Struthio camelus: one gene and its partners. The protein of the gene in region 2 interacts with the protein of the main gene of each other region in a pairwise test. Links are inferred from orthologs where the notes say so. Each region holds a gene or a part of one and is shown on either strand. Other genes may lie near its edges. The genes, in order: TRIM42, MEOX2, FUCA2 and AIRIM.

Region 1 (7,049 bases), on a different chromosome or scaffold from region 2:
GCTCCAACTTACCAGAAGGAGAGAGGACGAAAACTGAACGATGAGACCAAATTTCAGACACTCCGATCCGCGCAGCAGCAGGCGGCTCGCCCGCGGGCCCAACGGCCGCCCCGTCCCCCCCACCGCGCGCGCCCAACGGCCGCCCCGTCCCCAGCACCGCGCGCGCCCAACGGCCGCCCCGTCCCGCCCGCTCGCGAGCCCAACGGCCGCCCCGTCCCCCCCACCGCGCGCGCCCAACGGCCGCCCCGTCCCCAGCACCGCGCGCGCCCAACGGCCGCCCCGTCCCGCCCGCTCGCGAGCCCAACGGCCGCCCCGTCCCCCCCGCCGCGCGCGCCCAACGGCCGCCCCGTCCCCCCCACCGCGCGCGCCCAACGGCCGCCCCGTCCCGCCCGCTCGCGAGCCCAACGGCCGCCCCGTTGCCTCGGCGACCGGCGGCCCCAGGGCACGGCGAAGCGCCCGCCTGAACGACCTCGTGGCGCTGTGACCACCTTGTGCCCCTCTCAGAGAGGCAATGAGGCCCGTACCTTTCCTGAGATGTGCTGGGATATTTAGCGCAGCCCTAAAATTGCCGTCCCCCAAGCGCTCCGAGACCTCTCCTCTCGAGACCCGGCCAGGGGGCTGTGGTGGGGACCCGCCAGCCGGGTGAGCGCGCCAGTTGGGGTGCCTGAGGTCCCCACACTGCCCCTGCGTGGCGGGCCAGTCCCGAGGGCCTGCCCAGGAGACCCCCGACATGACAGACACTGTGGTGCACAGTTCGAGAAATAAATGCAACAGCTGCCACTAATGCCCTGTCTGCTTGTGAGAGCAGGGACTGAATGATACGCATAATACATACCTAGTATTTCCAGTCATTCTGTGAAATGCCTGAACTTTCATTTGTTCCACCGAATGACAGGCCTCACGTTGTGACTGTTAACACATAAAGCCAAGAGGCCTGCACGTAACAGGACTAAGAAATGAGTTGGGAAAGACCATGCATGCTGACCCGCAGTAACGGCATGTTATTACAGTTTCTTAACATCTATGACAAACACATCCTCTGGAGCATTTTGTAGCGTTTCACTGTATACCTCTGAGATCTGTGCAAAGGGGTATAAAATGCTACTATTTCTCTGGCGCAGCATCACTGGAAAGTTCTTGGTCTGTGGGAAATGCATCTGTTTTGAGCAGCATGTTACATACATACCAAAATTAAAATTCTTAATTTTCTTCTAAATTTCTTTTCCAATGTTTTTCATGAAGTCTTAAAAATAACTCCTAAATGCCCTCTGATTATTCCAGATACTTCTTTTTATTCCTTTGGTGAATTTTATAAGGCCCAGAGAATTTGAAAACACAGATTTACTTAAGAGTAACATAGCTTGTTGTTCTCTTATTTTACTCTACATAGTTGGTAACTATATGTTGCGGGTGTTAATTGTGTTACTACATGATCACAGTTAATCTTTTTAATGAAGAACACAAAAAGTCATTAGCAATTCCTTTTCTCTGGCGTTGTTGTTAGTTTTCCCTCTGGCTCAGATAATGTACTCCGCAGATACTGTATTTCGCATTGCCAGTCAATCCTAACATTTGTAATTTTTGTAGTGTGTAGTATTCAGAAACACTTTTGAAGTCAAAGAGAGTTTGAATGACTGTTAGATGTACATTAGTATTACCTTTTCCATGGAGTAGTCCTACATACATAAATCAAATAATGCTTTCTTGTATCCATTAGCAAAAAGCAGTAGAAGGAAAATTTATCATCATTTTTCCTCTGTCTTCTTTATCCATAGGCATATGGAGCTCAGCGTGGTATACTTACACAGCTTTAGAGCGATGAAGGAGCCTAAAGCTCACAATGTACTCTCTTGCTTTACTGGCTGCTAATCTTTTTGTCTCATCATCCCCCATCTCTGGTCTAGCTGCTGTCACCGGTCTGCCTCCATAGCAGCTGAGCCCTCTCAAATTTTCTGCTGAAGAAAGGCAGAGAGCAACTGTGGAGAGATTAATATTTCAACTCTGCCTTTTTCAAAAGAAGCCATCCAAATATTTCTGTGGCTTGGAACATAAGGGTAGCCATTTGGCTAGAGATGAAGGGTTGAATTATGGAGAGGCAATGAAGCTCTACAAAGCAAGAAAAAAGCTAATACTGTAAACCCCACTATTTCCTAGGCTGTCCCATCACTAGGGAATTGCCCTCTAACAGATATACCTGTTGTAAAGTGATGCTGGAAACAATGAACTAGAAACTGGGAGTCTTCTTACGAGAAAAGGGACAGTCTTTTTGCCATTCTGTTGCTGGTTGCTGCGGGCAAAGCCACAGCTAACCAGAAATAATGCTTTGAGAAGTGACTCTCAGTTCTGAGTGCCTCCGTTTTAGGGTGTATAACGTCAGGCTTTTTATATTTCATTCTTTAAGACCCCCAAAGCAGACATTGCCATGTGCTGCAGTCAATTCACCTCAATCACTTCATTTTATTGATAAAGAGCTGCTATACCCTTTAGAGAGAGAATCCTGCTGGGCTACATAGTTTTATAGGAAGGACAGTAAGGTAGCAGTCCCTCTTCCTCCTCTCCCTGACTCACGAGCTTGCTTTACCTCTCTGGCAGTGCGTGAAGGCAGCCAAAGTTAAATTTTCCAAGTTGCTGAGACAGTGCTTACTTTATATTCTTGCGTGAAGTAAGGATGCAAGCAAGAGACAGGTTTCCTTCATTCTCCCTTATTTTTTGAGTTGGTGAAAGGACGAAGAACTGCAAGACAATAAGCTTACTAAGAGCACAGACATGAGGTGCCTCACCATACTCATCGTAAGAGGAATAAATAATTTAACAGAGAAATTACATTCAGGACGTTAAAGATAGGGTTGGGGTAATACAGGAGAACCTAGCTTTCCCCTTCATTGTAGTGACAAAACACAACTAAGACCTTAACAAACCCGCTGATACCTGAAATGTGAGTGGTGAGGAACGTGTCCATGACATTTCATTATTATTTTCCACCAATGATGGAGCAATACACATATTCACGTCTGTTCTCCTCTCCAGTGAATAAAAGTCTAAGAAGATGCTATACACAATCCAGTTCTCAGGTGAGAAGGAGACAACCGATGAAACCCAGATTCATATCATAGTGTGTTACTATACACACTAGTTAAGGAGTAAGCTACAAATGGCATATGGTCTTTCTTCCAACTTTTTGTACATTACTAATCATTGTGCATTCTAGAATTTGAGTTAGAAATACTAACGTTAGAAATATCACAGAGATATCTGGAGGTAGAGCAAAAGGGAGAAGAAAGAAAAAAAAGACAACAATCTTAGGCTTATCTTGAAAAACACAACTAAATAGGATAAGCTGCCAAGTGAAAAATATTAGATTATATTATTTGACAGCTAACGGAAGTACAACACAAGTGACTATATGTAACTAATATGAAGTAATGGAAACTGACCTGTGTCTTCACCGTACTGTGCTTTTCTTTTTCCTTTTTTATTTCTCTCTCTCTTCTTGGCTTTCCTTGAGCACTAGGGTAATGGCCATATATCATAACAAGGCCTAAGAGACTCAACACCTTGCAGGGTCAGGCTCGTTTGTTGATGAAGCCAACCACATCTGAGCCTGGCTGTCTTGAGAACTGTGATGAAAATGACAGCCAGACCCAACCACAACAGAGGTGGGGGCAGAGGGGAGCATGTTTGCAAACACTATTAAAAGTCCGTCAGTTTGGCTGCAGCTGTTGCATCTAATTCAGTTTCTCTGGCAGCCAGACTGATTTGATCTTTCAGTATCTGTTAGAGGAGAATAAACATACTAATGAAATGGGATCATTTCAGAACTGTCTGCACGTTCATAGATAGACTCAGAGAGGGTCACCTATACTGGGAGCTGCAAAGGAATGAGGCCGATGGTGAGAGTAGTTTTGCTAACGCAAGAATTTGACCACTAAAGCTACGGGAATTATATGGGGAGGTGGGGACAAACAAGTTCAAGGCCCAGTGGAAAAACACAACTCATAGAAAAAACACTAAAAAAAAAAAAAAAGGTGTTGCTCAGAATGATAGATGAAGAAGGTACTCTGAACAGCTGCATTGTGTAGAGATGGAAAAGAGAGCCATAGGCACCAGCTGCTAAAACTTGGCCATTAACGTTTGCTCTGATCTAAAATGTGATACACAGGACTAAGATCTGTTTCCTTTTTTTTTTCTTTACTCCTCCACCTCTCCTTTCTCAAAAAAGGATATAAGAATGCTTGCATTTTGGAAAAGAAAAGCAGACAAGCATCACAAGATACCTTTTTTTCTACCGATTAATTGAATTCAAAAGTGTTTTCATCTTCTAAAATTAAACATGCAAAATAAAAAGCGTATTACCTTTGATTAAACTGGAAAGACAAATGGAGTAACTATCATCCACTAAAGGTACAGGTTTTACTATGGAAAGAATTTTAGCGCACAGATCTAGTGCTTATGCATGAAAACCCCCTTGACACAATAGGCATAACCATTCCAAAGGACCTATTATGGCCCATCATGTAAATAGCTACCCATAATGACACAGCCATTATGGTCCATAGGGCTCTGGATCAGTGAATTAAAATTTCTCTAGGCAGAACAGACTGAGCAAAGAGGCTCAGAGGAGCTGTTACAATAAACTATGTCAAGACCTATCTTAGTAACTCACAGTTATACATTAACCCATTAACACAAGCTGATTTGCTAAAGAAGCTCTTAGCAACCTACAGTACAGAGGCCACAATTAAAAGTAAGTATTCTTGAAAATGTACCATATAGACACCACTATTCTTTACAGTTTCAAGTAAGAGAATAAGCTGTTTTAGCTGTCTGTCACAGGTGACTCCTAGAGGATGGATTTTCTTTTTTTATATATCTGCATTACAGTAAGCTACTAGCATACTGAGAAGCTTATACATACTTTACAATAACTTAATTTTTATTCAAAATTATTATCCCTGTAAACAGATATAAAATGCTATTTAAATCTTGGAGTAGGTCACCTAAATTAAGGCAGAAGGTGCTTAATATGAGGTAACTAAAGAATAACTAAAATATGATGTCTAATATTGCATTTATAGGAGAGTGGGGCACTTACAGGAGAGTGGTGAGTTTAAGGAAGGACAGGAAACACACTTGGACTTCAGGAAAGAAGGCAGGTCCACAGTGAATGAGCAATAGTACTGAACCTACAACCCAAGTTTAGTTCCTTTCCTTAGGCCTTGAGGGAACGAACGGCATACATTGTTCAAGAGCACAAACGCTGGCAAACAAAGGCTTATAATAAGGACAGTTACAGGGAAATGCTTCCAGATGCATGAATCTTAGTTCTTTCATGTGTTATGCTTAACGTCTTATGAAGGTTTGATGAAAAATCTCACTATAGCTGATTAGGGCCTGATTCAGGTCATTCACTTATGGCACCCAACTTAGCCAATGAAATGTCTATAAAGTAAGTGTGTTGTCTTAAGAACATGGTTGCCTTAGGATATCTAGGTGTGTAAGCTGCCTATGCGATTAATGGAGAATGAGGTAGATGTTTTCAAGAAATTCAGGAAGAATGATTATAGTTACTGTGATGTACAGATGATGCCATCAGTGTGTCAGCTCTATGTGTGTGAGATTCTGCCTGTGTCCTTATTTGAATGTGTCACTGTGACATCCTTATTCTGTTCCAGTTAGAACAGGACATTAGAACGTTTTCACAGCACGGAGCTTGACCCAACAATCAAACCGCAAGCCTTCTTGAGAGCCAAATTGCTGTAAAGCTGTAGTGTGAGGAGAAGCTGAGAAGATTAATGAACTTTCTTCTAAGTGTCTGATAGAGTGATGGCCAAAAGTGAACGTCCCTGTTTAATCCACCCATGCTGCTCAAACTGCTGCTGCTGTTACCTGACTTGCCACAGCAGAAGCGAAGGATGCTGTTTGTGCTGGCGCTTCTTATTTACCAATGAGCGGAACTGCAGCTGTTTCCCATGTCCGTATGCAGAAGATGCACCCTGCCAGTGTTGCCACTGCTCATGTGCAGAGCATGCAAATTGCTGGTGGTGCTGCTGCTCTTGTTCAAATGACCCAGACTGTAAATACTACTGCTGTGGTGGGGAGAACTCAGCGTGTCAGTACTACGAAAGCAGATGCTGCAGAAACTCTGTCTACAAACCACACCACTCAAGAGCACTAGGGACTGTTCAGTAAGTGGAGTCAAAAGCTTTTAATTTCTTGTGGGTTTTTTCCTTTTTTCTGATTGACATTATGTCTTAATGGATGCGCTGCATTTAGGAACATAAGATCTGTTGGCTTGATAGAGTCCAGTTCCCAGCTATTTCAAGTAACAGCAGGATATCATCTTAGAAGATGAAATTGAAAAGCAGAAGGGAAGGGGCCAATTATTAAATACAGAAACACTAAGCTAAAGAGGAGTCAACTGAAAAGGTATTCTCCAATACCTCTGTAGAATAGCTAGCAAGCTAGCAAAAGAACTCGAGACTACAATAGCAGCAAACAGAAAGGAATTGACAGGACTTCTGGAAATGTATGGTCTATTCCTATATAGCGAAACCAGGAAGAGCAGAAGGAATCTTCACAGCAACAGAAAATTCTATTCTCTTTAGTTTACTGTTTGTCATGGACAACAGAAGCTGATAGTATAGTTGCTATTGAACATGTAGGGAGAGAATGAGGGAAGGACAACAACAGCAATATGAATGCTAAAAAGAAATACAGCAGAGTGCCAGACTGCTGTGGTCCAGAACGAGATCTACAGGAAACATTGAATACTGGTGTTCCTGTCAAGGCTCTGGAAACTCTGTTAACTACTCGTGGAGTAGTACAAAGGTAACATTGGATTTTTAAAAGAATAACGTCCACAGGGTAAGAGGCAGGCTAGAACAATCAAGATTTGAAGATAACAGGGATTTACCATGGCCTGAAAGGCAGGCCTCTTCTGTAGTAATCCAGAATGTTTACCTAGATTTGAAAGCCTTAGCAATTAAGATAAAAGAATCAATCACAATAAGGCTGCTACTAACACTAAGGATGATCTTCATTCATTCTAT
Region 2 (7,687 bases):
GGGAAAAAACAAAATGGAAAACATATTTTTCAGGCATCATTGCCTTGCTTGCATGTGCACTTTGAGTACATTTCTAAATACAAATGAAAGATACATATTACTAAACTATTATAGAAGGGTTATAATAGCCATTTCTCAGCTCAGAGTACTTAAGTGGAGATAGTACTAGAAAGTGAAACAATTGGTAAATTGCAATATCGTGCAGACTGGGAAATAAATGGTATTGTGCAAGACAGTTCTGTTTGCAAATAAATTATCTATTTAAAACAAACACACATCCAGGTTTGGAGGAGAACTTGTTTTAAGGCTTCTGAGTATCTAATGTGGAATGCAAGTTTCCCATCGTTCAATCTCTAAAAGCATTCCTGAAACATCATAGCTCAGGTGTGAAGCCTCAAGTACATTAACTGTTTTAATATTTCATCTGTTTATTTAAATTAAATAGGAAGCATAAGATATTTTACTGGTTAGAGTGGGCTGGCAATTCAAATAACTTTTAATGATGTAATGCAAACTTGTAAATCATTTTCCGTGAGGGCCTCATAGTTCAGCACAGCTTTTATGTAATACACTAAATTGCTGGCATAGCTTTAAAATTTGTAATACTTGGAGATCATGAAAATTAGAACAGAATCCATATGTATACAGGAGAAGTAACTGAAAATATGGATTCAGGCTTAAAGCTTCTATAGATATGTTGTAGCCTTTAAACCAAAAATTGTATCTGATACGTATTAAACCATGGCACATGTAAATGCTAAAAAGAGTGGAATGGAAGTACACCACAGAAAAGAAATGTTCAGGTTATGTGGTGTGCTTGGCGGTAGTATAATTTCTCACAAAAACTGCTTTTATGGTGAAGTATAGTGAAGATACTGGCATAGTAGGTTTATGAATGGGAAATGCGATCATCATCCTTTTTAACTATGGAGGAATTCAGTATTTTTGACAAGCCCGTCAGCACATTATTCATTTTCTGCATAAGGCTTTTCAGTTAAGGCATCCAAGCATCTCTGAAACGATGCATAACTGTGGCTTTATTACTGCTTGTATCTATAGGTTTTCGTTACAGCCTAGGTATCAAGAGAAATGAATTATATTGCTTCTACGGGAGTTAAACGGGAAAATTTAGGGGAAAAAGAAAAGACTGAAAATAAACATACATCTGTTGTGAATCTGGATTGACTCTAAGGTTAAATAATGATGCCTGCCTTCACCAAATTGCCATGGAAAAATATGAACTGATCATAATTACAGTACAATAAAATCTCGTCCTCTTGCTTTGGTAGGCTCTTGAGTACAATAAAATCTTTGGCTAAAATAAACTGAATTCATATTTATAAGCTTTCTCTTTGACAGTAAGGAGCATATTCTCAAATGGCGAAAAATGTCATCTTTACGCTGACTTCTACAAAGCTATGACAGTTTATACCACTGAAATACTGGTCCGCAAGTATGACTATTTGTCTGATGTTCTCGTAGTATGCATATATTAGAAAGCTGCGCACTAGAAAGAAGTGTACAAGAATCTTGCTTATACTCTGATAAATACTCAGGAAGATGGTGCATTTAGCCTCCAGCGTAAAAGATTGAGCGAGACTACGGAAGTCCTGAAGCTGAGGAACTCTACGCTGATTCATTCAGGTCAATTTTTATGTGATCCCTTTTACCATAAATGGTAAATTAAAACAAAACAAAACCCAAAAAATAAAGCAAATGCAAATATGAGCCTGTATATGAAAATATAAATGATGTCCCAAACTATTTTGGCTACGGATGTTTTTAAGAGTTAAACAGTTTACTGTTTTCGTATGTTTAAAACATTCTATTTTTTCATTTGATGTTGTAAGCTTTGGGCAAACTTGTTGGCATTGATTTAAGTTATGCTTTTGTACCACATGTAGGTCAAACACACATTCTAAAAAGATACAACATGAATGAGAATCCAATCAATAATATTGAGAGGTAATAACTGTTTACACTTTCTTCAGTAAATATTTCAGTGAAAAGCTTTGCAGTGGAATTTTCTTTGTCAGAAAAGTTGCACGTTTTTTACAAAGGATGGCATAGTATATAGTTATTTGATAACTCCATAGAGAAACTTCTGAGGATATTTCAGTAAACGTTTGATGTTGTTTATTCATGTCAACATTAATTGCCTATATTTGCATTCTGCTTATATTATTTAAAATGAAAACATAAGGCTCTACAGAAATTTGTACTTCCAGCTCTTGTGTGCTTAAAAACTCTCATTGAAGAAGAAATAAGAACACTTGATGTAGGACTTGTGTACTTATTAGGGGAATTAAGATCCAAAGGAGATACAGTCCCCAATATTCGGATTTGATTATGAAGCTAATGGCGAATGCTTAGCTCTGTCATTATTACTTTGTTGTTGGGCTTTTTTCTTCTTCTTCACCTTTCGGAGCCCTTCCTACCTCTGCCTAAAAAGTGCTATTTGGCTCCGTCTCTTATTTCTCCGGGAAACCTAATCTTTCTCCCTCCCCCTCGTACCCTCTCGCTGTCTTCATTGTACTTCACTTATTTCGCTTTTTATCCTCGAGAAATCCTGTGCGGCCATCCCCTAGAATTTAAAGGAAAAAAAAGGGGGGGGGGGGCATTCTTACACCGGCGCGGCTCTGGCACTTCCCCAGCCCCGTCGCAGCTGTGTCGGGGTCAGGGCTGCCGCGACGGCGGCGGTGGCAGGAGGGGTGCTGGCACTCCTGCCCCCCCGGCGCGGCCCGGCGCGGCGCCGTCCCCCCCGACGGCGGCGTGCCGGCGGCAGCAGGTTGACGGGGCGCGCCGCGCCCGCCTGCCCCCGCGGAGGGCCGCGCAGCGCGGAGGCCGCCGGGGGATGGGGGGGAGCCGCCGGCCGCCGCTGCCGGGGCTCCCACCTGGGGCCGCCTGCGCCGCCCGCCCGCCGCGGAGCCGGCGGCGCCTCGGGCCGCCCCGACGGGGACACGGCCCCGGGCGAGCTGGCTGCGGCTCGCCTGCAGCTCGAAGCGCGAGGCACCGCGCTCGGCGAGGATCGCCCAGCTCTTGCTGCGTGACACCCCGCTACTTCTTAGGGACAACGGCATCACTGTTCTCACAGCCCTGCGAGTTAACAAAACCAAGAGTAGTTCAGCCATTGCGTTCGCTTTGCGCTCCCTTCTTTTAATATTAGAGCACATATTGAAACGATAAACACAATGAAAAGCACAAAATATTTCATCAGTGTTGTAACTGTATATTTCCTTTATTCTGAAGAAATATCAAGTTTTGAACAGTGCACAGAGGCAGCAACTTCTGCTTTGGACGCCACGCTCTTTTTAAAGACCGCATTGTTACACTTAAATCTAAAGACAATTTTTCAAAAGCATTAGATCTCAGAAAAGGGGGGAAAATCTTACCGTCGAAAGACTGCTACAGGTTCCAGCTCAGTCTGAAACTGCAGGGAAAAGTGGAGCAGCTGCTGAACAAAAGTTTTAGTTTTTTTTCAGAAAGTCTGCAAAACTAATTTCCCACAAAATAGGACTCAATTTCCGTTTAAGAAACTAGCTCTTGCAAATCTCATACAATTCCTGATTTTTTCCAATAGCAATTGAAATTCATTTTATCTTTCGCACATGGGCCCAAGAATTTAGACTTGAATGGCAGGAACGTAATGGTTTTGTATGTGTGCGTGTTTTTTTTTTTTTTAATTTTGATTTGGGAGGAGGAGGAGGAGGAAGGTAGACCGAGGAGGAAGGGCTAAGCAACAAAATACTTTCGCAGTGGGCACCTCTTGGGCAATGATCAATAAATACGTTATCGTCATTTAGACCAGTTAACTGCCTTCTTCGTGGCTACTGTTAATTCCACTACAAGCATGTTAAAAGGAAAAAAGCCAAGCACCGACTCTCTAGCCGGTCCCTCTTGAGTCACTAAAGACCGCAACGAAGAAAATGAAGATATAGAGAATAAAAATAATGTGAGTTCTTGCTTTGAAGGGGCAGGGGGCAAAGAAGGAAACTGTCTTTCCTCGACCATGTTTCGTAGCTCGTTAAGCGCCGGTTATTTCGTTGCAACCCTGCCTGCCGGCCCCGGCAGGTCCTGTGCGCCCAAGGCCAAGTGCGGAGGTAGGTGCGGGCACCCCGCGGAGGGCGGCAGGCCACCTCGGGCGCTGCAGATGCGACACGGGGGCAGAGCGAGGGGCGGGAAGCGCCGCGGCCGGACCCGCGCTCCCCCGCGCTCGGAGGACCGCGGCCGCCGCGGCGCCCGCCCGCCCACCTGGGAGCGCAGGTGAGGGGCCTCGCCGGCCCCTTTCGGCCCCCGAGAAAAGGTGCCGGCGCTAGCCCCGGCCCCCCCCCCCGACCCGGGCTCCCGCTGCCCCCTCAGAATAACCCCCGCGGACTGTGCTTCACGTGTTTATTGCGCTCCTCCGCTGGCTTTCCAGGGGGCGGTGGCACTCGGAGAGGCCCCGACGGGGCGGTGATGGCCCCGCGCGGGGCCGCACGGCTGCGGGGGCACCGCCGCCCCCCGGGGCCGCCCCGCCGAGCCCCGCGGCGCCGGGGCGCGCTCCCCCCCGGCCCGCCCGGGGGCAGGCAGGGGCGGGCTGCGCCCCCGCGGAGCCGGGCCGGCCCCCCTTCCCCCACCCCCCGCGGCTGCCGCGGGCGCCCGGGGCGCGGGCGCGCAGCGCTGCCGCCCGCTGACGGAGCGGCTCGGCGCGGGGACGGCGCTGGCGTTTTGGAGGGAGTTTGCATGTGGTCAGTGCTGTGCTCCTAAGCCAGCCCCCAGCTCACATTACACACTACTGTATTTATAACCTCTGAGAGCTGTTTCCCCCTTCAAGCAGTTCTCTGGGACCACCTTCTATTGGCTTCAACCTCTCCCACTTCTTGACATCTGAGCAGCTCTGAGAAAGGCTCATCTAGGTCCGAGTGTTTATGCAGCGGAGACTGGCCACTAGGGCTAAAGACCTGGATTATCTGAGCTCAGCTGCCTGCTGCAAAGTCTGTCGTTGCCGTTTTGGAAAAAAAAATCCCAACCCCGATCTGTTTACAGTGAAAGTTGACAAAGGGTGGTGAAGTTGGATCTTTCCTAAACTCTCCTGCCTGGAACCTGAGACTTGCATGCCATGGATCACACACTCTTTGGCTGCCTGCGCAGCCCCCATGCCACTGCGCAGAGCTTGCACCCTTTCTCCCAGTCTTCTCTTGCCCTGCATGGAAGATCTGACCACATGTCCTACCCTGATCTGTCTTCTTCTTCTTCCTCTTGCATAATAGCGGGATACCCCAATGAGGAGGGCATGTTTGCCAGCCAGCATCATAGGGGGCACCACCACCACCACCACCATCACCACCACCACCACCAGCAACAGCAGCACCAGGCTTTGCAGACGAACTGGCACATTCCTCAGATGTCGTCTCCTCCCGCCGCGGCCAGGCACAGCCTCTGCCTTCAGCCCGACTCAGGAGGACCCCCGGAGCTGGGCAGCAGCCCCCCCGTCCTCTGTTCAAACTCTTCCAGCCTGGGCACTAACACCCCGACGGGGGCAGCGTGTGCGCCAGGGGACTATGGCAGGCAAGCTCTGTCCCCGGTGGAAACAGAGAAGAGGTCCGGCAAAAGGAAAAGCGACAGCTCAGGTAACGGCTCACGCTTTGCCGTGCGGGCGGGACCCCCGGGCGGAGGGTGCCGGGGGGTGCGGCGCTGCCGGGCCGCGGGTCCCCCGCCGCCGCGGGGCTCTGGCCGCCCGCTGACACCGGGCTCCCGGGTCGCGTCTTCACTCAAACGCGCTCTCGAGAGCTCCATCATTAAAGCAAGCTTTTTTAGGGCTACGGGGCAAAAATAAAAAGGAGAAAGCCAGCACGTGATAGAGCATGAAATCGGGGGGAAGGGGGTGGGCGAGTTTCGTATAGTCCAGGAGAGAAACGTTTGTAGTTTTGACGAGGAAATTTTAGCATCTGGTGCCGTGTTCCCCTTCTCCCCCCCCCCCCCGCCCAGCGCCCGATACACCACCTCTGCTGCAAAATTCAGAATAGAGCGCGCTCGCTTCCCCTCCCGCCCCTTCCCCCGCGGCGCTCACCGCAGCTCCGCGGCGGCTGCACAGCGCCGGGACGCTTCGCCCCGCAGCGCGGCCGCGGCAGATCCGCGGCCCGGCCGGGGCCGAGCCGGGAGTCCCTCCGCCAAACGGGGGAACTGGCGTCTCAGACCGCGAGTTCAGCTGAGCGTCCTTGTGCCGGGGGCGGAGGGAAGGAAGGAGCTGTCGGACTTTGAAACGCACCACGATTTTTCACTCCAAGACGAGCATAAAAACGTGCAGACCCGCGGTCGTGGCGGGATGATGATTAGGCATCGCTAAGCGTGCAAACGAACTGCCAAAATCTCTGCTTTTAGCATGGCCAAGCCAGTCACAGCCCCATACTGACAAAAGGCATTCCGCGACGGCAGTGCGATGGATGGCACTTCCGTTGCAGCAGATACAAACTGAAGGCTCATCTAAGCTACACTGAGACAGGCAGTAGGCACTTGAAAAAGAGAGTACTCAACATTTTGAAAACTCAGGAGCGGGCATAGCGAGTTTCTTGGTTGCTACCAAGCAAGGGAAAGTGAAAGGATTTTGCAGATATTTATGAAGTTCACTGCTGAAACTGTGACCTCTTTCACTTGAAATATTTTGAGCTTGGTGAGCTGGTAAGCAATAGAAACTATTTTAAAAAAGTACTTCAAGGACACTGTCATTTTGTTCATTACCCATTACGTTAGGAAATGTTTACAGTGATTCAGGATGGGTTTAACTTTATTTTATCGTATGTAGCTGGTATATGGGTTTTAAAACCGCCAAGATTGAAAGCCATATTTTGTAAAACACTTGTAGCAAAATCTATTGTTGCATCTTCACTACATTTTGTGGAATAAAAGGAATTCTCTGATTCTGTGAGGTCTATGAGCAGTACTAAAATTTGTGTCCCCATTGCTACTGGAAAATAACTGGATGCCTGTTTGTGTAAGGCTTTATTATCTTTTGTCAGACTGTTTAAAGCTAAAAGAAAAAAAAGATATTGATGCCTTTCACTGTCAGGGAAATGTCTGCATTGCTTTCTGTTTATTCCATTTTGCAATGCAAATGCAAAAAGCAGCGGGGAATGTCTCAGACCTCATCCTGAAGCCACTGGAGTCTTCCATGGGATTTAGTGGACAAGAGCGCAAGCCTTTAGTCGTGATTATGTTTATATTGCACTGTACTCCGAACTTCACTTTCTAAGACTTTCTGAAGATCAAGGCAGGTAACTATTTCCTCCTCCCTTCCCTTAAGAAAAAAATATATGTCCGTTCACACGATTAGGAGTCTCTCAAACTGAAAGTTGGTGCCTTTTGACGACAACTGAGTTGCCAGAGAATCTTCGGTTTTTCTTCAGGAAAAAACTGACTTTTGGACCGACCTTTTAACCCCACCCCTTTATTAAACCTGAACTATGGTGCTAGATATTTAACGTCCTTCTAATGTATGGCAGCAAGAACTATTTGAGTCAATGTGTTTCTGTATTTGTCATCCATAATCGCTCCTAATTTGAATAAAAATTATCTCCTACTTTTCCCATTAATCCGTTTTTTAAACAAATCACCATACTTTAAAGAATCCCGTCCTCCCCCTCCCCACTTATGAGACATAATCATCACACTTGGAAGTACTTCAATAGGCGTTTGTATAAAATTCTAATAG
Region 3 (7,686 bases), on a different chromosome or scaffold from region 2:
AGCCTACGATGTCTCAAAGGGCCAGCTTCCACCTCCAAAACACCCCAAGTGCAATTGCAGTGGTTAACTCCTAGTGGAAGAAGGGATACTGATTCACAAATGTTTGCCTCCCCTGTTAACGAAACCATCCTTAGGAAGGACTAGAAGGTAATACAGGTACAAAAGCAAAATTCTAACGCGCCATTCAGGCGAAACGCGTGGAGCAGCAGCGCGAGGAGCCTCGACGCCTGCTCCAAAACGCACCCTGCAGCCCCCTCCGGGCTTTCCTGCCCTAGCAGTCGGAGGAGGTTAGTTCAGCTAACGTGACCCAGCCGCGTCCGGGCCGGGTCCCTTCCGACCTGAAAACACGGAGTGGAACACCAGAATTTCGATCAACACCACCAGCGTGAGTGAAAGCGCCAGCGCGGGCACCCAGTCGCTGACACCCGACGGGACGGCGCTCGCGGCGCGGTGCCGGTCCCCGCGGCCTCTGGGCGGCTGGCTGCCCGGCGCCGAGCGCCAGCGCCGCCCGCGGGCCGGGCTACCCGGCCGGGACCCGCGGCCCCGGGAGCCGCCCGGCCTGCCTTACCTGAGCCGCCCACGGCGGAGCGGAGCAGGCAGCTCCTGCGGCAGGAGGCGACGGCGGAGAGGTCGCTCTGGGAGCGGCCGCGGGGGCCGGGCGGCGGCGGGGGCCAGGCGGGCGGCGGCGCCCCCGCGGCGCTCCGCGGCCGCCCCGCCATCGCCGTCGGGGAGCCGGGCCGGGCCGGGCCGAGCCGAGCCGCCCGGCGGGGAGCCGAGGAGGGAGGGGAAGAGGCCGCGAGGGAGGGCAGAGGGAAAGTTGGCGGAGGAAGAGCCGCCCCTCGCCTCCGACCGCCCCGGCGCGGAGCCGCCCCGCCGGGGCGGTCGGGGCACTTGGGGACAGCCCGGGGCGGGGGGGGAGGAACCGCTCAACGTTGTGCTTGCGTGGGAGCCGGCAGTCGTCCCCTGCCTCCTGCTTGAGCCCCCCGGTGGCTGCCAACGTGACCCACCGGCGAGGCTTTTCAGAGCCCCGAGTTGTGCCGCCCGGGCGCAATTGCCGCAGCCGCCCGCCCCGTCCGGGCGGCACCGGGCGGGCCGGAGGGGCAGCCCGCACCTGCGGCGCCCCGGGGGGCGGAGGAGGAGGAGGAGGAGGAGGAGGAGGAGAGCGTTCGTGCCTTGCAGCTCTTCCTGACGCCGGCAGCGGCTGTGACTCGGTAATCGCTTGGCTCCGCTTAACTTTCTACTCTCAGAAGGAAAAAACTTAGCATCATTAGTGAGTGGAGCAACTGACAATATCAGTTTTGTTTTCCTCCACCTGCCATCCTCCCGCAACAAAGAGGTTGCACAATGCATTGCTGAAACTGGTAGGGACTGTGGTGAGTCAAACCTGCCCGAGAGGAATGCTTTCACGTTTAAAGGGTAGGCATTTCCCCAGTCGCTGTTACACTGTTAGACAACAAGCTTTACACAAGGGTACAAACACGTGACTCAACATTTTCTAAATACATCAAGAAGTGATTCCTTCTGCCTTTCAGAGCAGAAGCAGAACTGACACTGACTGCAGGAAAAGTAAAAAAAAAAAAAAAAAGTAAAAAGTACAAAATCAAGCCCCGTGGTTTTGGTTTTTTTTTCATTTTTCAGATGTACTTTTCTAAAAGGAATCGACATAAAAGGTAATAGGAGAAAATATAATGGTTTCATTTTCATTGCTTTTTTTTTTTTTTTACACAAATAATTCTATATTCTGCCTTGAATAAAATCCCAACTGCACTGAAGTGAATGGTGAAGACTGATAGGATTTCACTCCATATTTTTAAGGCATCCAATATCACATGATCTAACTATCAAGGATGAAAGTCCCATTCAGATGATATGGAAAGACTCTAGTGTCTAGCACTGCTCAGGTCTGAATCAAATCCTATCAAGTCTGAAATCTATCCATGTGAAATTCAGCTATGGGTCTCTATTTCCCACTTGGAAACCAAGTGCCCTCCCTGCAACGCCTGCCCCTGTGCAGCTCCCCTGGCACACTCATTATGCAGTGTTCCCGGCAGTCATACCAACTGAGACACCGTTTGCCTTTGTCCAAGCAATCGATCCAGACTGCAAGTCTCATGTGTCAGCAATTAGGTAGGTCAAAAGGTCTGCTCTGTTCATCGTTTCCCAAGGGATTGCCTTCATTTTTCCCTCTTCTTCCCTCCACTGAGAGACCATTCCTTTCCTATATGAACTGCAGAAAGCAGGACTGTGCTGTACAGGCTTCTCCTCACTTGTGGCAGCAAGGAGCTCCGTACTTACAGACCTTCCTATGGGGGCCAGATTACTCCTGCATTGTACAGACACTCTCTAGCCATGTTCAGAAAGCTTCCTGTAAAGACATTGACGTTGGTCTCATATTATACGAAAAATGTCATAATGTACTATTTTAACTATCTACCCTTTACAGCTTGCATCGTTACAGATGTGACTGTACACTGAGGACCTTTTCTCTCACTAGAGATTTCAGTGGCTAAGCATGTGTGGGCTGGTGACATTTTCTGAAGCAGGTTAAGTCTTAATCAGAAGTAAACTCATGACTCCTCTTTACTGAACTGTTTTCTTTTATTTTTTCTTTTCTTTTCTTTTTTTTTTTGAGCTTTTTTCTTGGATGATCTTTCCCTCAAAGCATTTTCAGCCACACAGCAGTTGTAACTTTGGTGTGCTGCACAGAATAAGCTTCAGAGAGTATGCTTCAAAACTCACACATTAAGGAGCTGCTCAATGCCTGAAAACCTTTGGTGTTGGCCAGTGATCAAAAAGAAAAAACTGCACAATGTTAAGAAATCCAAAGAGAAACTAGAAAAGATATCGTACCATGAGGTCAAAGGAGTTTAGGAATACCTTTTGAGAAGCAAAGTGACATCTAAAGGAGTGAACGTAAAAGAAGACATAGAGAAAGTAGGTCAATGTTGAATATAAAAGACAGAAGTATGAAGAGGCAGAGGCAAAAAAGAAGAAGAAAAGGAAAGGCTCGTATGTGTGATTTTCAAAGGGCATTTGTAAATCAGGGTAATGTGAACAGTCAGACAAAAAGGATGATACCATGGAAGCCAGAATGTTTTTTAAACAACCTGCAACTTAGTACACTCTTCAAGGTATATAACTGAAAACATTAACAAACCATGTATGTATGTTTCTTTTTAATAGCCATTTAACTGTCTTTGGACAAGTGTAATAATTGTGGCTAATGGCTCTGGAAACTGAAGTTCTACTTCTACGGATCAGGAAAAGCCTCAACAGCAAAGTGTACATCTCTCCCAGGTAGAAAGAGATTGCTTCAGTTGCCTGCCCGTCTATTTTTCAACTGTTCTGATGAGGTTGCCAATGCAATTTCCATGTGCGGTGATGATTCTGGAAAGTTACTATTTGCTCATTAAATCAAACTATTTCACAAAGGCCATTCACAGGCAACTAGGGACTGACGCAAAAGTATGCAATCCAGGTATCAGGAAAGACTGAAGGAGCAGTAGCCCAAGCTAAAAAGACGCATCTTTTAAAGTATGTGTCTGCCACCCATGACCTGCTGCACGAATATGAAGTGCTGGCTACTGAAGGAAGGGAGCTTCAGTACAGGCTTCCTCCAAAATCCTTCTAACAAGGAAACCTCTACTTGACGAGTCTGGGGGGTACCTTTTTGCCCTGGAAGGTATAACCACCTGGTGGGCTGAAAGGAGCTCTGCAGAGCATTAAAACTTGCACGCTGTCATGCTCTGTCAGGGAAGTAAAGCTCTGTGGTGGGACGTTGAGCCTGCGGCAGGCAGGAGACAGGAAGGTCAAACCAGCAGCCCGCGGAGGCCACCGCAGAACCAGGCTAATTGCCGGCAGCTTTTCAGGTCAGCGCTGACAGAGAACAATCCCAATTTGGTTTCTGAAGAACGGGCTGGTACCTAAAGTGCAGCTGAGTGCTAGCAGCTCACGACAGATGCTCCTGGGGAAGGAGAAAGTGGAAAGAGAAAGGCAGGATGTTGTCCAAGGTAGAAAGAGGTCGCTTCCTCTTCTTAAAATCCTCTTTAGCTATTTGTGATACAGCAGCTAGATAAAACAGTAGTGATTGACATGAAATCCCTGGCTTGCACGCTTTTCCATCTAAAACCCGGGGAACTATGAGGTTCTGTCACGGCAGTTGGAAAGGGATACATAGGGAAGAAATAAGACTAGGGAGAGAACAGAGAGGGGCACGGGCAGCAATTACTGACGCAGAATTAGCGCCGTTCATCCAGAGACAGCAGAGACGAGTAAAACTAGGGCTGGTGGCTTGCTCCGAGCTGCGGTTCAGTAGGCCGGGGAGGCGGTGGTGGGGTGGGGGAAGCCTGGCCCTCCCTCCCTCCCGCCGCCCTCCTGTCAGCCCCTCGCCCCACAGCCGGGGCCTGCCCGACGGGCCCGGCGGCTTCGCTGTCACCGCCCCCCCGCCCCCAGCCGCGCAGACGTGGGCGGCGAGGGCCGCCTTGCCCCGGCGATGCCCGCGGTAGCGGCCCAGGCGGGTAGGACTAAAGTCCCCCGCCCCGTCCCGCCCCGCCTAGGGGGTCACCGACATGGCGGCGGGGGCGGGGCGGCCCCGCCCGCGCCGGAGGCCAACGGCCCCGCCCGCCCGCCGCGTCGTAACGGCCGGCCGCGGCCCCGGCGCCTGTCCTGCCGCCGGCCGCCATGTCGCCCGCGGCCGCCCGCGCCGCGCCGCTGCGGCCGGCGCTGCCCGCGCTCCTGTTGGCGCTGGCGGCGGCGGCGGCGGCGGGCGGCGGGCCGCGCTACGAGCCCACCTGGCGGTCGCTGGACGCCCGGCCGCTGCCCGCCTGGTTTGACGAGGCGAAGCTGGGCGTCTTCATCCACTGGGGCGTGTTCTCGGTGCCCAGCTTCGGCAGCGAGTGGTTCTGGTGAGCGGGCCCCGGGCAGCGCGCACGGGAAGAGGGGGTCCCGCTGCCGCCGGTCAGCCGCGCCACGGCTGGGAGGCTTTTCTTGGAAAGCAGCTCCCTGCGCAGGCGGGTGTGGGGGTGGTTTTGCTCCCCGCCCCACCACCGCGGTAACGGGTCTGTTCCGTGGGTCTGACGCCCCTAAGGAGAGGGCCTGTGGAGCTGGGGCCTGTGTGCAATAGGCGTTAACCTGCCTCAGGGCCCGCAGTGAGGCCGGAAACGTTGTAACCCGGTTTGAGGAGGAAGCAGAGTTTGATATGATTGCGGTATGGGTGCGTCCGCCTGTCCGTCCGCCCCTAAACCTCGTGAATGTGTTGACTAACGTTGCAGAGAGGCTAGCGAGCGGGAAGATGTGCTCTGCTGCAGCGCTGCTGCAAGGGGTGACTGCAAGAGGCAGGCCTCGCTTGACCCCACGGGCTGAGGAGCTCTCTTTTCCACTGAAACGAACCTAAAGCTCTGATCCTGCAGATAATTTTAATTCGGAAGCTGGATAAAAACTTTGGTTTGTGTGAGTGTTCGGTGGCTCGGGCCCTCTGGCTGTAGCTGTTTGTTTTGCCATCTTCTTTGCGTGCGCTGCCCCGTGCTTTCTGCCTGACTTTGAATAAGTCACGTTACCTTTGTGATATAAAGGTAATAATGGGTGCAGAGCTTAACGCAATGTCCGCAAAACAAACCGACATCAGTATAAGCAAACCACTATTTTCTGTTGAAAAAAATCTGGCTTACTCTGTTCAGTGTTTCATTTAAGGGTTTCAGCAGTTTTTTTAGCATGGGTTTCATTTATTAACTAATGACTTTCTGGAGGGTAAAAAAGTTAGTTTTGGGTGCAGGCATTACTCAGAGCGCCATGCTCTGATACTCATACACAGATTCAGGCTCACACGTTCGTTCTTTTGTTTTTCTTCTGAAAAGACCCCAAAACGCTTTAACAGTAGTTGATGAAGTTTGTTACATCTCTGTTGTCTCCGCTCCTTTGCCATGCATAGGAGTGGAGCTGCTTCAGGGACCTCCAGATAGCACTCAGGTTGGGTAATGGAGGCCTGTTGTTAACAGCTTCAAATGGGAAGTCATAAACTCCAGCTCTCACCCAGCCCATTGTGCTACCCTCAGAGTTATGCAATCTTGGTCAATATGTTTCTGAAACTTAATGCTTCTATTCCAGTAGTTTTTAACGTTGTTAGCAAACTGTATGACAAAAGAAAAGAAGCAGGAGAAGGATTTCATCTGTTTCTTTATGCAACTGCATACTTTCAGATGAGATTTTTTTCAGGCTCTTCCATGGAGGAAGACTGTCTCAGCCGCTTTCTTCTAGTGTTGTGGTTTTTTGTTTGTTTGTTTTGTTTTGCTTTTAACCCACTGGCTGCCAGAATCTGTGCCTCTTTATGCTGAGGTGCCTTCAGGGAGGTTTTGGCAATATCCATGTGGTGACTCTAGTCTTACAGAAATGAAGTTAGAGTGCAGTTCAGGACAGAAGGCATGAACACATTTCAGACATTCAGGTTTTGCACTGCTTTATTCCTTCACTTTGAATTTGGACTCATTTATGCCTGAATCTGCCAACAGGATTTTGCTGCTTGGCTCCATTTGTAGAAAGGTAAATGCTTTCAGACGCTTTTCCCATGAATACTATCAGTCACAGTGTTCCCAACAGTAAGGCTGTTTATGCAGTAGAGATTGTTGCATTCTCTTCTTGGATCTCCTCTTTTATTACCGGAAGGGGAGGAATGGAGCGGGCTGAAAATTAATAGTGGTCTATCAGTGATTTATGATCTCTGCCCACGGTGAGGGTGAGAGACCACTCTTAACAGAGCAGAGGTCCCAACCTTGCTGTGGACTGGGGCAGTTGGAATAGTGATGTTGCTATGTTGAGTGTTGATGTGATGGAAAAACAGGATAGAAATTGCCCCTGCCTTGCAGAGGTGGGCTGCAAAAAGAGGTCATTGTCTTGCTTCTCTTCTAGTTCCTAAGTCTGGATGCGCTGCTCCTGTGGTTTGAGGGAGAGGTATACCTGCGTGTAACGGTATACCTGCGTGTAACGGTATACCTGCCTCTTTGTAACTGGGGCTGGGGCCGCCTTCTTGCGGAGGCAGGTTGTTGCTGGAGGATGTGCCTTCCAGTAGGGTTGCTTTGATTCACAGCCTCACGTGTGCTATGGCTACAGGACTTTTGCAGTCAGGCCTCTCTCCTGCTTCGGGACCATGAGCATCAGCTCGCACATCAGGTTAATCGGCTGCATTTGGTGTGGAGGACTCTGGACCAGGAGAGAGGCAAAGCTGCTGGCCTGCGTGTTTGTGGGTTGCAGATGTTGCAGTGTGGGGAGCAGAGCAGGAGCATCAGACTGATGTGTGAGACTGGAGAAGGGTGAGTCATGTTAGCCAGAAAAAGTGCATTCCTAGTGACATCTGACCTGCTTACATGAACTGTGCAACTGCGCCCTCTAGTAAATTTTCAGGATTTGGATACTGAATAAGACTGCCATTTTTTCCAGTCCCAAAGTACAGCTGCTTTGCGACATAGCTCCAGATAAAATCTCAGCACCTTTCCAAAGTGGAGTACTTGGAAAAAAGTATAGCATGGGGAGAGAGGGCAGAGAAAAGGAAATCTTCGATAATTGAAACTGTTACTTTCTGAAGTGATTTTATTCCATTTCCAGTTTCATGTAACAGCATGTGCCTCAGTGTTAATGCAAATAGGAGCTGATGATTTCAACTCACTTATCTGTATTTACATAATATGTCAGAGGATG
Region 4 (6,322 bases), on a different chromosome or scaffold from region 2:
GATCAAGGCACGCTTAAACCCAAGGTCTTTCGTTACAGATTCAAAGAGTCATCAAGGACCATTTTGCAAATAGATGACAGATACATAAAGCAAACAGTTAAGACCTCCTCTGTATTAAAGATTAACAGAGAAATAGAACACAAACCTGGAATCAAACTTGGGTGTGACAATGGAAGTACCTCCCCGAGTGCAGACATCAACAATTCTACCAGTAGCTGGAGTGATAAAGTTGTTTCTGCTTGATCTGCTAAAGAAAAAAAATCCTGCTCTGAAGAATCATTTTAACATATGTCCGAGCCCTGTCTTATCATAGCCTCAAATGAAGGGGCCACCACAGAAAAAAGTCAGAGGTTCTTACTGATTAAGGGTGAACCTCAAAGCTAGGGATAAGCTGATCCTCAGAGGAGAGGAAGTTGCCTGTCTTTCATTCACTGTCAAATCACTGATTGATTTAGTAGGCTGATGCATAGGCATGCCATGCTGTAGAAACATACTCCATTCCACTTGAGTTTTATGAGCAACACACTTACTCTCCTTTTCTGAAAGCCAGTGAAAAGGCTATCTCCTGATACCTTTTACTTATGCGTTTCACTCTTGTTGAAGGAGCTCTTCTGCTCTTGGTCACAGGCACTTTTTTGGTGGATGCCTTCACCTGAAACACATGACTCAAATCAGTTATATTATCACCAGACAGCTGAGCCCAACATGAATAAATGCTTCCACACAAAGAGTTTGACTTAATAGCTTCCTTTTTAAGGCACAAAAAGCCTGAACCAAATGCCATACAGACTTCTGTAGTCTTTCACATTTTAATATCACTCATATGTTCCCCCCCTAGCTCTGCTGTAGATTAGGAGGACACTGGACTACATGAACTTAATCTGACCCAGTACTGTCGATATATTCATTATTGCCCACAGCAAAAGCAGCAGGAACTGGCACTGGTAAAGAATTTTCACTACGGTTAGAAAAGTCTCTAGTATAGTGAGTATCACACTCTGTATACAACCATAAATACATTAGCTCAGAGGAAAGGGATGAAGAGTGAGACCCTGCAGATCTACAGAAGCAATAGAAGCAGGGATCAAGCATTTGCACAAAGCTAAGTAACTGCACTCCAAAAGCAAATGAAAAACCAAGATCCCCATCACTAGACATTCCAGGAGACAGTGGCTAGCTATTTTCAAGTCCTCTTTGAAGTGCCGTGAACACCATTATCACAGGCATCATCTCAGTGAAATAGTTTACATCTTGAGAACAGAGTCATCATAGCAGTAGCTATTTACCTTCCCAGTTCTCGGATTAATATTTTCAGCTTCTAGTTCTGCAAGAGATTGGTTATCATGTTTTGTCTTCTTTGCTTGAGGGTGTAAAGGAGACTCTGCTTCTTCTTCAATAGCTTCAATACCCTGTTTAGATTTTTCAGCTAAAAAGAGAAAGTGTTATCTAAGCTGAAAGCAATAAGTCATGAGCTAGCAGTTGGGTCAGAAAATAAACAATGATAAATATTTTCGGCAACAATTTGCTCCTGAAATCCAAATCCCAATAAGAGCAGCTGATAGAACACTATTATTTAAAGTTTTGTTCAAAAAATTAAGTAAAATTACTTCTGGTAACAGGAATAAAGGAAGAATCATTTTATTGTGTTTAAACATGTTGAAGGCTGTAAATAGGAGTTGAATTATCATTTACAGTACACAGACCATTGTAAGCTTTCATCTTATTGAACTCATCACAATCCTTAAAAGCAAACTGACCTTTCTTGATGATTTTTAAAGGAGTCTGGATAACTTCCGCTGTTAACTTGTTTATTTCTGTTATTTCCAAGTCTACCTACAATTAAAAACAGTAATGATAACATTAGAATCATCAGTACAGCATAACTGATGAGCCAAAGTCGTGGAGCAAATGCTTAATTATTCTAGAACAGAAATACATCCATATTCTTCTGTTGTGCTCAAACTGGGAGCTTTCATGTTATTCTAGAAGTGACAGCAACTTAACAGGAGTGCATAACATTCAGTACTAAGGAGTCTCATTTGGCAGCTACAAGTATCCTTCTGCCTCTTCCCTACAGCTTGGTTTTAAGATGCTTTACAGAAAAGTGCATATTCTCTCAGGGATCTAAGAGTGAAGTTAAGCAGATCAGGAAAGCTAGCAGCGCACCCTAGGCAAAGAACAGTATGGTCAGACAAAGCCTACAATAAATACAATAGATGTTTATTACCTTTAGGTCTTAACACAGTAGCTGTGAAAGTGTTTATGCAGTCTGTGTTATTGTAGCCTTTGTACAAATTCAAGAAACCCTTCTCTCCTACAGGGGCATAAAATGTCCTCAGGAAAACATAGTATTTATGTTAGACACCTACCGTTGCTGCCTCTTCTAAGACCTTTTTGCTTCCTCCTTTAGCTACAAGGAAAACATTAAAAATCAATATACATCCAGGTCAGCTTATACAATGCTTTAATACTTCACCAGAATGGTGGAAAAACACAGCACAAACAAGTTTCCTTGGCAGCAAGTGAGCAGCCTAAGGCAAGAAGAGAGGAGTGCTTCCAAGAGTACTCGCAGGCTTTTCACTCACGAGACTTAAGGCACCGTGGGATTCAGTTTTCTCTGGCACGGTTTTTCCTTCCCCCTCCCTCTAGCCTAAGGGAAGCCCCGCACCCGGCGCCCCCCCCCGTACCGAAGTAGTCGAGCCAGTTCATCTCGCGCACGGCCAGCGGCAGCCGGAGGATCTCGATGTTGTACAGGTCCTCCACCTCCTTGACCAGGCGCTCCCCGTTCGTCCGCAGCCGCTCGGCCCGGCTCTGAACTGCGGGGACGCGCACGGCCTCACGCCGCCGCCGCCACCCCCGGGCCGCCCCCCACCACCACTGCGGCCCTCCGCGGAGCCGGCCCGGGCCCCCTTCCCCGAGACCCCCCCCCCCACCGCCACCCTCCGCGGAGCCGGCCCGGGCCCCCTTCCCCGAGACCCCCCCCCCCACCGCCACCCTCCGCGGAGCCGGCCCGGGCCCCCTTCCCCGAGACCCCCCCCCCCACCGCCACCCTCCGCGGAGCCGGCCCGGGCCCCCTTCCCCGAGACCCCCCCCCACCGCCCCCCTCCGCGGAGCCGGCCCGGGCCCCCTTCCCCGAGACCCCCCCCCCCACCGCCACCCTCCGCGGAGCCGGCCCGGGCCCCCTTCCCCGAGACCCCCCCCCCCACCGCCACCCTCCGCGGAGCCGGCCCGGGCCCCCTTCCCCGAGACCCCCCCCCACCGCCCCCCTCCGCGGAGCCGGCCCGGGCCCCCTTCCCCGAGACCCCCCCCCCCACCGCCACCCTCCGCGGAGCCGGCCCGGGCCCCCTTCCCCGAGACCCCCCCCCCCACCGCCACCCTCCGCGGAGCCGGCCCGGGCCCCCTTCCCCGAGACCCCCCCCCCCACCGCCACCCTCCGCGGAGCCGGCCCGGGCCCCCTTCCCCGAGACCCCCCCCCCCACCGCCACCCTCCGCGGAGCCGGCCCGGGCCCCCTTCCCCGAGACCCCCCCCCCCACCGCCACCCTCCGCGGAGCCGGCCCGGGCCCCCTTCCCCGAGACCCCCCCCCCCACCGCCACCCTCCGCGGAGCCGGCCCGGGCCCCCTTCCCCGAGACCCCCCCCCCACCGCCACCCTCCGCGGAGCCGGCCCGGGCCCCCTTCCCCGAGACCCCCCCCCCCACCGCCACCCTCCGCGGAGCCGGCCCGGGCCCCCTTCCCCGAGACCCCCCCCCCACCGCCACCCTCCGCGGAGCCGGCCCGGGCCCCCTTCCCCGAGACCCCCCCCACCCTCCGCAGCGCCCCCCCAGGCGCCCTTCTTCCAGGCCCCCTCCCCCTGAACCCCCCCCAAGGCCCACCACCCCCCCAGGCCGCCCCCCTCCAAACCCCCTTCTCCCAGGGCCCGCCGCGCCCCCCAGGCCCCCTCCCCCTAGACTCCCCTCAGGGCCCGCCGCCCCCCCAGGCCCCCTTCTCCCAGGGCCGGCCGCGCCCCCCCCCCCAACCCGCGGGCCCCCCCCCACCCTCGCGGTCGAAGTCCTTGAGGAAAGCCGCGAGCTTCCTGCTGCGCGCGGTGGCGCCCGCCCTCCTCCGCGCGGGGGCCATGGCGGCCGGGCCGGGTCGAGCCTGGTCGGTGGCGGAGCCGGTGTCGGTGCGGCCTAGCGGAGCCCGCCCAAGGCGCGTTTAAACCCAACCGCCGCCGCGGGCGCGGCCAATCGGGGCGCGGCGCGGGCGGCGCGCTGACGCAGCACGGCGGCGGCGCGCTGACGCGGCGCTGACGCAGGGCTGAGGCGGCGGGCGGCATGGCGGCGGCGGCGGTGACGATGGCGATGGCGGCGGCGCTGCGGGCCTGCGCGGCGGCCGTGGCGCGGCAGGAGGCGGCCTGGCGGGCGGCGCTGGCCGCCTGGGCGCCGCTGCTGGGCTCGCTGGGCGGGCTGGCGGCGCAGGCGGGCGCGGCGCGGCGGCTGGCCTGGCGCGGCTCGCCGCTGGGCGCCTTCGGCGGGCTGCGGGCGCGGCTGTGGCGGAAGCAGCGCGGCGCGGCCGAGGCGGCGCTGGAGCAGCTCGGCGGGCGGCGGTGAGGCGGCGGCGGCGGCGGCGGGGGGGGCGGCGGGGGCCGGGTCGGGCCGAGCCGAGCCGAGCCGCCGCGTCCCGCGCAGGGCGGAGCTGCGCGCCGTGCGGGACGCCGTGGCGGCCGCCGTGGCCGCCGTGCTGCGGCTCTACGAGGAGCGGGCGGCGGAGCTGGGCTTGGCGGCCGCCCTGCGGCGCGGGCCGCGCTGCCCCTCGCTGGCCGAGGTGCTGGAGGGGCTGCAGGACGTGGAGCGCTACTACCGGCACCTGTATCCTTCCCCCGTGTCGCGCCCTCCGGTGCCCCCCTCCCCCGGTGCCGTCCCCCCTCGGTGTTGGTCCTTATCGGGCAGGAAGGTATCTGGAGAGCAAGCTGCTGCTCCTGCGCATCAGCTGTGACAGCCTGGCGGACATGGAGGCCCTGCCGCAGTCCTGGGAGAGGATCCTGGAGCGCTACAAGCCAGACGTCGTTCAAGGTAGTCCCCCGCGTCTTGGTGCGGCTCCGTGCTGGCGGTGGGGCCCGGCAGGTGCCCTCGCTGCACGTCCCGCTGCAGTGGGTGAGCTCGCTGCACGTGCGCTTTCTCTTTGCAATGTGCTCCGAGATCTTGCCTGTGATTTATGGGGTAAATGAAGTGGCATCATTGTGCATAGCAAAGCAGAGAGCTTGGTGCTTTCTTTTACTTGGTCTGCCACGATAACGTCGCTTAAGATTCTTTGTTATAGCTTTTAGAAATAAGTTAATTTTCTGTGGACGTACAGTACAAATAAAATGTACTAAACTAATTATTTCTTTTTTTTTTTTAGATACACTTCTTAAGATTTCTCTTTTTCTTGACAATCAGTGAAAGCTGTGCTGCTAACCAGGCTCCTGAGGGAGGACAGGAGACACTGATGTTGATCATCTCCTATAAGTATCTGGTATAAGACTTGTGATATAGCCATGAAGAGGAGGATGAGCTGAGTAAGCGTTTCTCATGTCTTTTGGAAGCTAAGTTGATACGTGGCCTAGGAAATGCTTGGGCTGTTCCATTTTCAAATGGAAATGGACTTAGTATCCAAAGAAGACAGCAGGAAGTGAGTTGTCATCTCCACCTGCAGAAGCTGGCCGTTCTCTTGTGTACCCTGGATATTTTGCATACCGAAAGAAACGTTGAGACTCATTAAGTTGCAAAGAAATGGTACCGATTGTATTTAGAAGGGTCCTGCAAATAAATAAATACATAAATAAAACATAGTGTCCTGCACTTTGATATCACGTAAGAGAGATTTTTAAGTACTGTCCTTACAAATAAATAAAAGATGCCGAATCAGGGCTTGGAAACTCTTTGTGCCTTGTGCCTCTGAGCAACGTATTTTCTTTCGTCCCATCTTCCATACAATCCCACGTCTTCCCTCAGTCATCTGTGCAGTGAAGAGGAAAGCTAATTTGGTCTGAAAATGTGTTCGTGGAGGTACACGGATAAAGCTTAGACACGTGAGGTCTAGCAAGTGCAGTTTTCAAGAGTAAGAGTGTACTTTGTAGCATTGTTAAGGGAAGTTTTGTTACTACGTGGCCTTCAGAGCTGTATGATGTTTCGATGATGATCCTAGATGAGCTTAACAATCCATTTCTTTCATATAAAGACTGAAGGACATAAACTCTTTGTAGTTGAACACGAGTTAGGTTCTGCACCCTTGTCAAATTAATCCACAATTTATCAAACATCCTTGTGTAAAGAGATGGACATAAGGCTTTCTTCTTCCTCAC

What was found.
Region 1: the proteins of MEOX2 (region 2) and TRIM42 interact in binary tests that used the Homo sapiens proteins (3 or more experiments, as listed by UniProt). The two-hybrid records come from large-scale screens. The link is inferred for Struthio camelus from reciprocal best matches to the Homo sapiens genes MEOX2 and TRIM42.
Region 3: the proteins of MEOX2 (region 2) and FUCA2 interact in binary tests that used the Homo sapiens proteins (3 or more experiments, as listed by UniProt). The two-hybrid records come from large-scale screens. The link is inferred for Struthio camelus from reciprocal best matches to the Homo sapiens genes MEOX2 and FUCA2.
Region 4: the proteins of MEOX2 (region 2) and AIRIM interact in binary tests that used the Homo sapiens proteins (3 or more experiments, as listed by UniProt). The two-hybrid records come from large-scale screens. The link is inferred for Struthio camelus from reciprocal best matches to the Homo sapiens genes MEOX2 and AIRIM.

What each region holds. Positions count from the first base shown.
Region 1 is NC_090950.1:10,498,893-10,505,941, forward strand, and holds the start of TRIM42 (tripartite motif-containing protein 42), read left to right. Parts: upstream 1-4,037; coding exon 4,038-4,070; intron 4,071-5,856; coding exon 5,857-6,185; intron 6,186-7,049.
Region 2 is NC_090943.1:33,643,133-33,650,819, reverse strand, and holds the start of MEOX2 (homeobox protein MOX-2), read left to right. Parts: upstream 1-4,668; 5' UTR 4,669-5,098; coding exon 5,099-5,609; intron 5,610-7,687. UniProt on the Homo sapiens protein: Mesodermal transcription factor that plays a key role in somitogenesis and somitogenesis and limb muscle differentiation. Required during limb development for normal appendicular muscle formation and for the normal regulation of myogenic genes.
Region 3 is NC_090944.1:77,011,828-77,019,513, reverse strand, and holds the start of FUCA2 (plasma alpha-L-fucosidase), read left to right. Parts: upstream 1-4,674; 5' UTR 4,675-4,680; coding exon 4,681-4,904; intron 4,905-7,039; exon of another isoform or gene 7,040-7,242; coding exon of another isoform or gene 7,243-7,301; intron 7,302-7,686. UniProt on the Homo sapiens protein: Alpha-L-fucosidase is responsible for hydrolyzing the alpha-1,6-linked fucose joined to the reducing-end N-acetylglucosamine of the carbohydrate moieties of glycoproteins.
Region 4 is NC_090964.1:10,953,076-10,959,397, reverse strand, and holds AIRIM (AFG2-interacting ribosome maturation factor), read left to right. Parts: upstream 1-4,340; coding exon 4,341-4,585; intron 4,586-4,667; coding exon 4,668-4,847; intron 4,848-4,932; coding exon 4,933-5,051; intron 5,052-5,379; coding exon 5,380-5,420; 3' UTR 5,421-5,805; downstream 5,806-6,322. Other genes in the region: CDCA8 (borealin), read right to left, coding at 146-247, 573-652, 1,287-1,426, 1,758-1,833, 2,370-2,410, 2,688-2,816, 4,035-4,116. UniProt on the Homo sapiens protein: Part of the 55LCC heterohexameric ATPase complex which is chromatin-associated and promotes replisome proteostasis to maintain replication fork progression and genome stability.